Callithrix jacchus: one gene and its partners. The protein of the gene in region 2 purifies or fractionates together with the protein of the main gene of each other region. This does not show direct contact. Links are inferred from orthologs where the notes say so. Each region holds a gene or a part of one and is shown on either strand. Other genes may lie near its edges.

The links.
Region 1: the proteins of WDR20 (region 2) and PHLPP2 purify together in Homo sapiens (affinity purification with mass spectrometry; 4 studies listed by BioGRID and IntAct, with this or other methods). This does not show direct contact. The link is inferred for Callithrix jacchus from reciprocal best matches to the Homo sapiens genes WDR20 and PHLPP2.
Region 3: the proteins of WDR20 (region 2) and PHLPP1 purify together in Homo sapiens (affinity purification with mass spectrometry; 4 studies listed by BioGRID and IntAct, with this or other methods). This does not show direct contact. The link is inferred for Callithrix jacchus from reciprocal best matches to the Homo sapiens genes WDR20 and PHLPP1.

Annotation. Positions count from the first base shown.
Region 1 is NC_133521.1:30,185,562-30,189,883, reverse strand, and holds the start of PHLPP2 (PH domain leucine-rich repeat-containing protein phosphatase 2), read right to left. Parts: upstream 2,881-4,322; 5' UTR 2,863-2,880; coding exon 2,764-2,862; intron 2,619-2,763; exon of another isoform or gene 2,206-2,618; intron 2,063-2,205; exon of another isoform or gene 1,929-2,062; intron 1-1,928. UniProt on the Homo sapiens protein: Protein phosphatase involved in regulation of Akt and PKC signaling.
Region 2 is NC_133509.1:137,130,149-137,133,794, reverse strand, and holds part of WDR20 (WD repeat-containing protein 20), read right to left. Parts: intron 3,066-3,646; coding exon of another isoform or gene 3,014-3,065; intron 1,596-3,013; coding exon 1,413-1,595; intron 690-1,412; coding exon of another isoform or gene 659-689; intron 1-658. UniProt on the Homo sapiens protein: Regulator of deubiquitinating complexes. Activates deubiquitinating activity of complexes containing USP12. Anchors at the base of the ubiquitin-contacting loop of USP12 and remotely modulates the catalytic center of the enzyme.
Region 3 is NC_133514.1:105,926,689-105,930,334, reverse strand, and holds part of PHLPP1 (PH domain leucine-rich repeat-containing protein phosphatase 1), read right to left. Parts: intron 3,612-3,646; coding exon 3,417-3,611; intron 802-3,416; coding exon 573-801; intron 1-572. UniProt on the Homo sapiens protein: Protein phosphatase involved in regulation of Akt and PKC signaling.

The DNA of each region.
Region 1 (4,322 bases), on a different chromosome or scaffold from region 2:
CAAGAGAGAGGCTCTGCCTCAAAAAAATAATAATAACAATAATAGTGTTTTGGGCTGGGGGCAGTGGCTCATGCCTGTAGTCCCAGTGCTCTGGGAGCCCAAGGTAAGAGGACCATCTGAGGCCAGGAGTTCGAGACCAAAAAGCAAGACCCCATCTCTACAAAAATAAAAATTAGAGAAGCATGTGCCTACAGTCCTAGCTGCTTGGAAGCCTGAGGTACTTGAGCTCAGGAGCTATGATCACACCACTGCACGCCAGCCTGGGTGAAAGAATGAGGCCATGTCTCTAAAAAATAATCTTTTTAAATTTGTTTGGCATTAATTGTTTATACATACTTTGTTAAACACCCCCCAAAAAATGAATCTCATGGCACACAATGACTACATTAGTTATAACTTCATATCTTCTATAAGCTAAGTTAAAAAGCATTAAAGAGCCGGGCGCGGTGGCTCACACCTGTAATCCTAGCACTTTGGGAGGCTGAGGTGGGTGGATCAACTGAGGTCAGGAGTTCAAGACCAGCCTGGCCATCATGGTGAAACCCCATCTTTAAAAAAAAAAAAAAAAAAAAAACCCAAAATCATACAAAACATCTGGAAAATTTACAAACCTATGCTTCTGCAATGCACTAAATAAGTTGGGAGCATACTTTGAAGGAAATTTTCCAATATCCCAGGATAGGTGGAACTAGATCTCATCTAAGTTATGCTGACTTTATTATATTTGCCTTTTTGAAGAATATCTGTATTATTTGACAATAATGATGTTCATGATTTGGTATCAGGTATAAAAGAGTAACAAAAAAGAATGAAGTTTTTGAAGGATCTTCGGAAAACAATGAGCGGGAGGCTGGGTGTGGTGGTTCACACCTGTAATCCAAGCACTTTGGAGGCCAAGGCAGGAGGATCACCTGAGGCCGGGAGTTCAAGACCAGCCTGACCAACATGGTGAAACCCCGTCTTTTAAAGAAAAAAAAAAAGCACAATGAGTGCGGGATGACTGTTTCCAATTCAGAGAATCTTCTACTGTACTACTTTTTTTTTCTTTTTTTTCTTTCAGCCCCACACTGACCAAATACTGTACTACTTTTTTTTCCAACATCACTTGGCACAAAATTCAACCACTCAGCTACTCAAGAAAATTTGTGTGCGAGGCCGGACACGGTGGCCCATGCCTGTAATCCGAGGACTTTGGGAGGTCAAGGCGGGGGGATCACCGGAGACCAGGAGTTCAAGACCAGCCTGGTCAACATAGCGAAACCTCGTCTCTACTAAATACAAAAAACCGGTTGGGCATGCTGGCACGCGCCGGTAATCCCAGCTACCCAGGAGGCTGAGGCAGGAGAATCGCTTGAAACCTGGAGGGAGAGGTTGCAGCGACTGAGTCACTGCACTCCAGCCTAGGCAACAGAGCCGAAATTCTGTCTCAAATAAATAAATTAATTAAAATTGAGAGGCAGTAGCACAAAAAAATGTTCTATATTTTACAGAGTTCTAGTTTATGTTGTTCCATAGATTCACTATGTTCTATTATTTTTTCCACATTCCCATCTTTGGGACATCATACTAACAACCTTCATAACATGTAAGTATTGCTCAAACTCAATCCCAATAAACTATTATTTAATGTATTTTTAACATCATATGTTTTCATTATTTTGCAATGTATTTTTGAAACACATCAAATCTAAATTTTCTTTCCTTTCCATCCTTCTACCGGGCAAGTTTCATATCCTGCATTCCTCATGCAGAACTCTAGAAGGAATTCCATTCCACCTCTGGAAGGACACCTAGTTTACATATTTGACCTACAGAAAAATTTCTCTGCAACTCTTACAAATGCCAGTAAAAAACTCCACCCAGTCAGCCTCCCACAACCCCTCCCTTTAACCATCTTCTCCCCACTATCGCCGCCCCACCAAACTTACTTGTCATCACCTTCAAGGTTCCACTCCCCTCTTGCCTGCATCTGTTTTCATATCCTCCCACTCCCCCAATTCCTGCCGAGAAGCCCCGCTAGCTGCCTGTTGCATAACGGCTCCCCCATTCCGTCTCCCTGGGCAGTCGGCCCCGCTCCCGCGAGCAGGAATGCCCCTTTCGGCCCGGCCCCTCCTCCCTCCTGCAACACGCCCAGCGAGTCCCCGCGACGCAGCTCCAGCGGGGATTCTCGCTCCAAGCGGGGCGGGTCGTCCTTCCCGGCCGCACCTCGAGTAGCGAGCCCCGAGGGCGGAGGAGCCGGCTCCACCCGGCAGGGCCCGGAGCCCACCGCGGCGCCGGCCAATCGCCGCCGCCATCCTCCTGCTGAGGTGATGTCTTCAGGTGTCCGGGAGGGGAGAAAGCCCTGCGTACTTCCAGCCCCGCTCCAGTGCCAGGAGCCGGCGGCCCTCTAGCCCCCCGAAGCCGGCCTCCGGGTCCCGAGCGCGGCTAGGCAGGCAGAGGCCAGCCCGGAGCGACTAAGGGTCCGGGTGGGCGGCGGCTGCCGGCAGTCCGAAGGCGTGGGCCTGCGAGGCGGGCGGCGCGCGGCCAGGGATGAGCAGCGGTGGGGGACCGAGGCCTGGGCGGGGGCGCGGCGCAGAGGCCTCGGCGTCCCCGGCCGGGTATGGGGCGGCCGACTGACTGAAGCCGGGGGGCGGGGGTCACTGGCTACCTCAGCCCCCGCACGGGGCGGGGGCGGCAGCGGCAGCGGCCTCTACCCTCCTCCTGTGTTCCCTCCCTAGCCAGCCCGCCCGCCCGCTTGTTCACCCGTCCGCCCGCCCGCCTCACCTTCAAGACCCGGATCCCTCCCGGCCGGCGACTCGCGGGCGCTTCGGGCGGCTCCGGGGGCTCCAGCGGGCCCGCGGGCCCCGGCTCCACCTCCCCCATGGGCGGCCGAGGCTGGACAGGGACGCCCGGCCGGCGCGACGGCGTGCGGAACCTCGGCGGCGCGCGCGAGCGGCCGGCGGCCCCGCCCCTCCGGCGGCCCGCCAGCCCCGCCCCTCCCGCAGCCCCGCTGAACCTGCGTAGCTGCGGGCGCCTTGTGGCCCGGGCGCCGCGGAGCCTCGTCCCTGCCGCCAGGAGGCCGAAGCTCGCGTAGCGGAACCTGGCGCCACCTCAGGGTGTGGAGCCTCCGCTGCCCGCCGCCCTAGGCTTGGAGGACTACGGCGCAAGAAGGGGTATCTGCTGCTGTCCCGGCCCTCTAAGAAACCCGCAGGAGGAAGGGGCAGGTGGCGCCTGCACCTGTGAATTGTGCCAGGACGGTGCCCTCCGCCCAGGGTGGCTCTTGTAACTTCCCTCACTTGCCAATCCGTTGAACGAACTGTTGAGAATATTCACCTTGACAAGGTCTTTTCTTTATCAGAGATGCGTGCGACCTTCTTAAGCAAATTCAACACGACATCGTACTCCCCTCCCAGCCACGTTTTAATCCCGTTCCTCTTCATGGAGCAAAGAGATGAGCATTTGGCGCTCTGCTTCAAGCAGTAATATGGCCTGTGAGCCTTTTATGATTTATTTGCAAGGATAATTCAGAAAAAAAAAACTTTTCAAAGTTACCTTATTTTCCTTTTGTTCTTTTTCTTTCTTTCTTTCTTTCTTGCAGTGATGGTAGTTTTGTGGCCAGTCGGCCAAATTTGGAGTCAGCCAGCCTGATTCCAGATCTTGGCTTTGCCCTTCTTTAGAGCTATACCTCTGTGCAAGTTACTTAATCTAAGCCTTTGGTTTTTAAGCTGTCAGATAGAGATTAAAATCTGCCAAATAGTTATGATGAAGATTTAGTGAATACGAAGTGCCTATTGTAGACCGGCGATTCATAGTAGCCATTATAATTCTGAAGTTCTAAATTGAAGATTCATTCGGTTTCTCAGAAAGTACTCTGTCAATTCCTCCTAAATTTTCCTAGGAAGGCTTCTAGACTTGTGGATTTTTAGGGCTTCCTCTCGTACAGAGGGTGTTGAATCTTCAAGCAATTTATAAGGAGTTAAACAGCACAAAACAGTAATTTCTTGACCTTTGAAGAACTGTAATCCCAGCACTATAGGAGGCCGAGGCAGACGGATTACTTGAGGCCAGGAGTTCGAGACCACCCTGACCAACATAGCAAAACCCTGTCTCTACTAAAAATATAAAAAATGAGCTGGGCAGGGTGGTGCACGCCTGTAATCCCAGCCACTTAGGAAGTGGAGGCATGAGAATCGCTTGGACCCAGGAGGCAGAGCTTGCACTGAGCTGAGATCACACCACTGCACTCCAGCCTGCACACAGAGAGACCCTGTCTCCAAACACACACACACACACACACACATATAGATGTAATATATATATATATATATATATATATCACCTAT
Region 2 (3,646 bases):
TGGCTCCAATCCCTGCCCCCTCAATCACACTCTCCCCTACCTATAACAACAAAAACACACAAAGATGCTTCACAATTTCTGCTAACAGTGCAGAGGAGGCCAATTGTGTGTGCTGTCCCCCGACCCAGCATCAAAAAAATAATCATCTAGCTATTTAAGAATCACTTCCTCAGATGATATTAATAAAACATCTAGGTAAATAAAATATTTTCTGCTTAACACTTTTTAATGGAAATGGAATTAAATACTTTTCCTCTACAGTCTGTCAGTCCAGATGACAAGTTTTGTTCTCAGTCAACTCAGGACACTAGAAGAGGCGGCATGGCTCATGAGATCTCATCAAATCCGCTGGCAATGTCAAATAGGAGGACCTGGGTGGACACTGAATTTGCATGTAGCAAATACCATGACTGCCAAAGAATCCAAATTTTAACTGCCATTTGTCAAGTTGAATTTTCCTCCCCAAACAAAATTATTTCTTAAAAACCATACTCTATAATGTGTTTTTGTTCCAAGTTGATGATGTTAAAACCCTGCAACAATGCAAAAGCACTTATCCTTTCTAAGGGAGGGGTCCTACATAGCCCGACACTTGCACATTGGGGGTGAGGTCCCAAGTAGAGATTGGAACCCAGGGCTTCTAAATCAGCAAGCCTACCTTATCTTTTCCATTTGGGAGAAAAGTCATACTGAAACAGAGGAGGAAGAACATTAAATATGAAATAGCAATAGCTGAGGCTAAAAGATGCTCCAACAGCTTTTAAAAACATCATCTATTTGGCAATTTCTATATGCCACATTCAACAGTCCTGACATGTTCCTGGACAGACAGCTCAGATATCTCAAACTCTTGAAACCCCAGGACATACTACAACACTGGCAAAAGCCACGTCATGTGACCCAAATTTAAGTGCCAGGATTTCTAACTACGTCAAAGGTGGGTTTACAGCAACTATTTTTCAAGAGCAAGTGAAGTACTCCTTAGCCCAGTGCCTGTCAAACATACATACGGAAGCTTTAGCTACAATTTAAGCCACCTAAGGAAATGTTATCAAGTTCTTTGATCTGCATGAAATGTTCGGTGATGTGAAGCAAGTTTGGAATTCTACATTTTCCTAAATTATAAATACCAAGTTACAGTACTGTCCCTAACTCCACTGCAGAAGAGTTTTTAAACACCTGTTACAGACACCTGAGCATGCTCCATAAAAATGCACAAAACAGTTACCCCAAGGGAACAGGTAAGGTCAACAAATTAATCCACCACATTTAAACCTGGGTATACTAGGGAGGAGAGCTGAGCGAATAGAAAATGGGCTTAGCCTGAAGTGCAAAATAAGGCCCACTACCCTTGGTAAGAACGCACCAATTCCTAAAGGGATCCTTAACAGCTAAGACAGGGTGCTACTTACTTCCTCATTAAAAAGTTTGCTAGTTTCTTTTTTGATTGGGTCTATAAGCTGGACTTGGCCTGCAGAAAAGCCCACTAGGAGAGAGACACTTTCTGCTGTGGCTGTTAGGTGGTTGAAGTCATGACAAGTAGGCTGTGTTCCTTTGTATATCCTTTTATCTATTGGTTTACTCAAGTCAGCAGCCTGGAGGAGAAAGAGAAAAATACATATAGTAAACAGCACATTGAGATGAGAAATCTAAGTTATGCTATTTTATACTCCAATATGGTGTTTAATCTTAAAAATGAAGTTATTTAAAATATTTTTTCAGTTGTGACTTAACATTCATCTTACATTTTATGAAAGCACTTTCACATACCTTAGCCAACTAGATATCATCAGACTATCTATAATAAAACTGTTACTTTCACAACTTATTCTCCCTCAAATATATGTAACACTTCAGCAGGAAATATCCTTGAGATACTAAATTCAGTATTTTCAAAATGCGTTTCAATCAGTATCTAACAGAGGAGCCACATAAGAGCTCAGTTTCCAAGCGCGTCTTTAGCACCTAAATGTCCACTGGCCAGTCACCTGCAGCCCCGTGGCTCTCAAAGTATAGTCCCCAAACCAGAAGCAGCAGCAGCATGTGGAAACTTAGCAATGCGAAATCTCAAACCTTACTCCAGACTAAATGAATCAGAAACTATGGGAGGGAGTATGGGAGGGAGTAGGGCCAGCCAGCCGTAGTTTAAAGAGCCTTCCAGGTGATGCCGTTGCCTGCTCAAGTCTAAGAGCCGCTGCTGGAGCCCACGCTATACACTGGCTCCTCCTGGGTCAAGATCCCGCTTCTGAATTAGGTGTCAGGGAACACTCACTTATCGAGGTCATAATCAAGGTGCTTTACATGCATCATCTTTGACCCTAAAAATAATGCTCCAAAGTGGACAATATTTTACCCATTTTACAGATGAGAAAACAAGGTTAGGGAAGTTAATACCTTGACCAATTGTCACCATACCTACCTAGTAAGTGGCAGGACTGGATTTGGAACCAGTCTGTTTGACCATTAAGGGGATGGGGAAAGAGAGTCAAAAGCAAATGATTTCTCACTTGAGTGTAAAGAAATTTTTCAATGTGCCCTCCCTCCTTTCAAGAAGAATTCTTTTCTTCATGAGAAATGTTCTGTGTCATCCCAATATGCTGAGCTTTTATTGTGAAATATAAGGGAAACCCATCCCCTCCCACTCTTGTCTGAAAATCTCAGGTGGAGACAACTAACCCTGAAACAGAACTTGTCCCTCAAGACACCCAGCTCACCCTGCGTGGCCCTCTGGGGCTCCCGGCTCTAGTTCTCTACTGACCGCCCCCTCAGGTTCTGAAGATTTCTTTCTTCCAAAGAGGCCTGGGACACTGAACCAAGTAGTCTAATGTTTGACTTTGCAATAACAAATATAAATAATGAGTAGAAAAGAGGACCTCAAAATTACAGGCGTGTTTGAGCAAACTCAAAACCTTGTACATGTGGAAGTCTGGACCTGAGTGGTAACAAGTAGCTCTGGGAGCCCCAGGGCAAAGGAATGAGGGTACATGCCATGCGGACACTCTCCCAGCCTCACCTCAGTTAAAACGGAGATGAAAATCTCTGTTCTACCAACCTCATGGGATTGTCTGGAGGATGAAATAAGAGAATATATACATGAAAGAGCCTTGAAAAGTGTAATACAAAGCACCATACAAAACAAAAGGGAGTCCTGACTTTGGAGTGAGGAGAAAGGGGCCAGTGGAGGGTGGGCTGAAGGCAGCTCAGCCGAGTGCTGTGAGTGAGCAGCGGGGCCCAGGACGGTGGCCGTGGACAGGCTGTCTGAGAAAGGCAGCTTCTGGGCGGGCTCTGATGGCAGGGAGAGAGAATCCTGGCCTGACAGAACACCACACGCCAGTCATCTCAGAACAAGGAAGACAGCCCCCACCCCCCGCCAAAAAAAAAGCCACAAATATAAGATATGACTGGCAGCTAGAGAACAAAAATCCAATTTTGAAATATGAACAATTAAGTTACACATAATTACTATCAGCATATTCAACTCTTGAGACTTTTTCTTTTTTTTTTAGTTTGCTTAGGAAAAATAAAAAATCAGGCACGCCTGTGGTCCCAGTTATCCAGGAGGCTGAGGTGAGAAGACTGCTTGAGCCCAGGAGTTCAAGGTGACAGTTAACTGGGATTGCACCACTGCACTTCAGGCTAGATGACA
Region 3 (3,646 bases), on a different chromosome or scaffold from region 2:
CCATGGCATGCCAAGTGCACTCTCCGCTCCAGCTGTGATGACCAAAAATGTCTCCCTATGTTGAAAAATGTCTTGTGGGGAAGCAAACTGCCCCCAGTTGAGAACTGCTCACTGTGTACTCAAATGGAACATGAGGTATGAACCAAAATAACAACTAGTTACATTCACAGTTTACAAGTCATAGCAGCCTTGTCAGACAGGATAGATAGACGAGGCTTAGAGAGGTTTAAAGGTCATAGCCTGCACATGGCAGAGCTAAGATATGAAAACGAGCAGGGTGATGTCGGGTAGAGCCCTCAACCACCGAAGCAGCCGTGGATGCACACTTTGCAGAGTGGCTGCACGGATGGAGTGGGGTCGTGTCCATGAAGCACAGTGCCTGACACAGGGAGGCAACTGAGAACCAGATGTCGTAATGTAAGCAATTCGCTTTGTGATACTATGGATTTGGAATTCTAATGTTGAACCTACTTCAAAAATGTTCTTTGAAGGCAAATGCTCCTTAGCTAGTTTCTGCTATGACCTGGTCTCCTCTCCTCTCCACCATCCTGGGAAGACCCCTCCCTCCTCACCTCAGTGATAATGGCCTTGTGCTGCTTAATCCTCTTCAGCTCTTCTTCACAGCTCATGATGTAAGATCTGGACAGGGGCAGTGGCTTTCCATTTCGACAGAGAACTGTTTGGCACTTGCCCACATTAGCAGAGGTCAAGGTGAAGGATCCTCCTGGGTCCACAGGGTCATGCTTGATATGACAAAGGACAGCAGCACCTCCGAGCTTCTGCCCAGCAGTTCCAAGTTTCCTGGAATCGGAAGAGAAGGGGTGACAAACACCGTCCATCAGTGCCAGTTCTGCCAATTCCACAGGAAGACTGCACCAGTGGACAGGGCCAGAAATGCGACAGCTGGAGAGTCCACTCCGCCTCCTTCCTCAAAGATCACACTGCTCAGCCTCTCTGAGGAAAAGAGCCCCTGAATCTGACATCACACACATCCCCACAGAGAGGCTCACAACTGGGAGACAGTGTCACTGTCCCAGTAAAAGCCACGGGTGCTGCTCTGGAAGGCAGGAGCCCCTGGACTGCTGTGTACAGCACGCTACCCTCATCAACCACAATGCCTGATCAGCGCATTCCAAAGACAGCAGGAAAATGACTTCTTTCTCCATCTGCTTCTCTAAACTCCCTCTGTGCCCAGGAGAGGAACACTGAAAAAACCATGTACATAAGAGCAGGTATAAACATCCTGCACCCACTGACAGACACTTCAGAAAAACCTGACAACCCTCTCCCCCTTTTATATGGATGTTTGCTGGTAGGAGCCTTTAAGCACTGGAGTGTTCATGGTCCTGCCCTATATAGCAAAGACTTTCTGGACCAATACCATCTATTTTAGAAAACTCATAGAAAGAACATTCTAGTGATCCCCAAGTGCTTCTGATTTATCCTTTTAATCATGACAATCCGTAGACTTTCCAAATACAGAAAGCACCTGCAAATTCTGAAAATTAAAAATCAAAAACCTCTTTTACAAAGCTACTTCTTCTGGCAGATTGTCAAGGGAGAGAAATAGCAGAGAGGGATAAAAGACTATGATTGCTCCCATGGCCTCAAGAACTATGGCAAGCTGCACAAATGGTAACACGACCCAGGCCCCTGCTGTTCCTGGATGGTAGAGCAAGAAAGTTAAACAACATAGCCTCTCCTGTTTTACATGGGCAGACCCTCAGGTACCGTCTCTTCTATCCTGTGTCTAAGGTAAGCAAGCGGCAAGAGAAGCAATGGAAACCAGGGCTGCCTACTTGCATGCATTAGGAGATCCTGCACAAAGACCAGTTCCCCTAAGGACCAAAAGCTCACCACACATCCCATACCCTCTTAACAGACAGGCAAAATAAGAGACATACAAAAGACACTGGAGAAGGGCCCATAGTTTAGGATCCTAAACTCTAACTTCCAGATATGTGGCTCTCGGCCCTTCCAAGGAGGCTCTACTTTCTCCCTTTCATAGGCACAGTGGTTCATAAAACGTATAGCAAGTAATCTGAGATTAGGGCTCTCGGTTTTAAATTCTTATCCAGTGCTTGATAGTCCATAAAAAGCAGGCCTCTTGGGAGTTGCAGAGAGATGTGTTTGTGCTGCGGTGTGTGTGCACACATGTGATACATGTGTGCTGTTTTTCGAGAACAAAAGTAGTGAAAACAGGAAAGCTGGTGTGCCTGCTAGTCAGAACATCCTCTGGAGTCTTACTACCCAAGGTCAGGTCCTGGCTGCTCTACCTACTGTCCCTTAGGCACTGTGCTTCAACTCTCTGTACCTCACTTTCAGTAACTTCACCTGGCTAACTAGTAACAATTTATGATACTTAAGGTATTGAGAACAATGAGTGATACACAGTAAGGCCTTGCTAGATATTAGCTATTATTGTTCAGTTGCTAACTGTTCATGCTCACCGAGAATCTGAAAGACAGCAATGAGTGTAGCAGCAAGAACCACCCCAGGCCTGCCTCCCCCAAGCTCTCTGAGAGGAACCATGCATGACACGGGTATAACTGTAAAGGCTGCTCTGACCACTCCTCAGCAGACACTTCTACCCCTCCAACAAAGCTACTTGCTCTGGCAATGTCAAGGGGGAGAAAGCAGAGGAGGACAAAAAACAATGGTTGCTCTCATGACCTCAAGTACCAGTACACTCATCACTCCTGGGTCCCACACGAGCGAGTCTGCAGTACAATATTTATAGACAGGCAATTCCATTATCACCTAGAAAGCCATGAAGGTGATAAGAATGAACAATTCTTTGAATGAGGGAATCCTCATTCCTCTAAGAGTTAGAAACAATATTCCAAAATTTGTACAGCAACCTAAAGCTCTGCTGCTGGTGGAAACTCCAGAAACCTAGGATTCTGCCAGTAATCTTTGTCTTGAACGTTTAACAAAGGGGAAAACAACATACAAAGAATGATTTAACTCCTGGCCTAAAATCTGACAATCTCGATTTCACAAAAGTTTGCACTATCTCAAACCAGTGACAATATTTCATAAGGGCCAATAAACTAGGATGGAAATTGTCCACTTCAAAGAGAGGTCCCCACACCAGAAAGTCTAAAAAGCCTCTAGAGCTCACATGATTTAGGAGGAGAAATGGTATTGCAAACAATCTGATGAAAATCTGCAGTCAATACAGGCTAGTGAGGTCCAGTTCCTCACTCCCTGTCATTGTCTGAACAACAGTGTGTCTCAAGCTGGAGCACCATTCCTAACGCCTGGGCAACACCAAACTTGCCTGAATGCATCTTGGTACTCGTAGTCAAAAAACAAGGCTTGGAGATCATTGTGCGCCTGCTTTTCTAAACAGAAGATAAATACTTAAAGAGCAAGAAAACACACAGCAGGTAAGCTGGAACTCTGAATTTTACCTTTGCATGACAATGAATGTATTGACCATGTATTCTTCTTCATTTTTTGTTTTTTGCAGCTCTTCAGCCAAAATGTCACTCATGGTGCACTGGAGAAGGTAGGGCACCTCGACGTTCCGGTCTCCATCAAACACACCATACAGGGCTTCGCGATTGTCGCAGAAGTTATTCACCGACAGTGCTGCGACACACAACCTGCAAGGCAACCACACTTGCGTGCTGAGTCCACT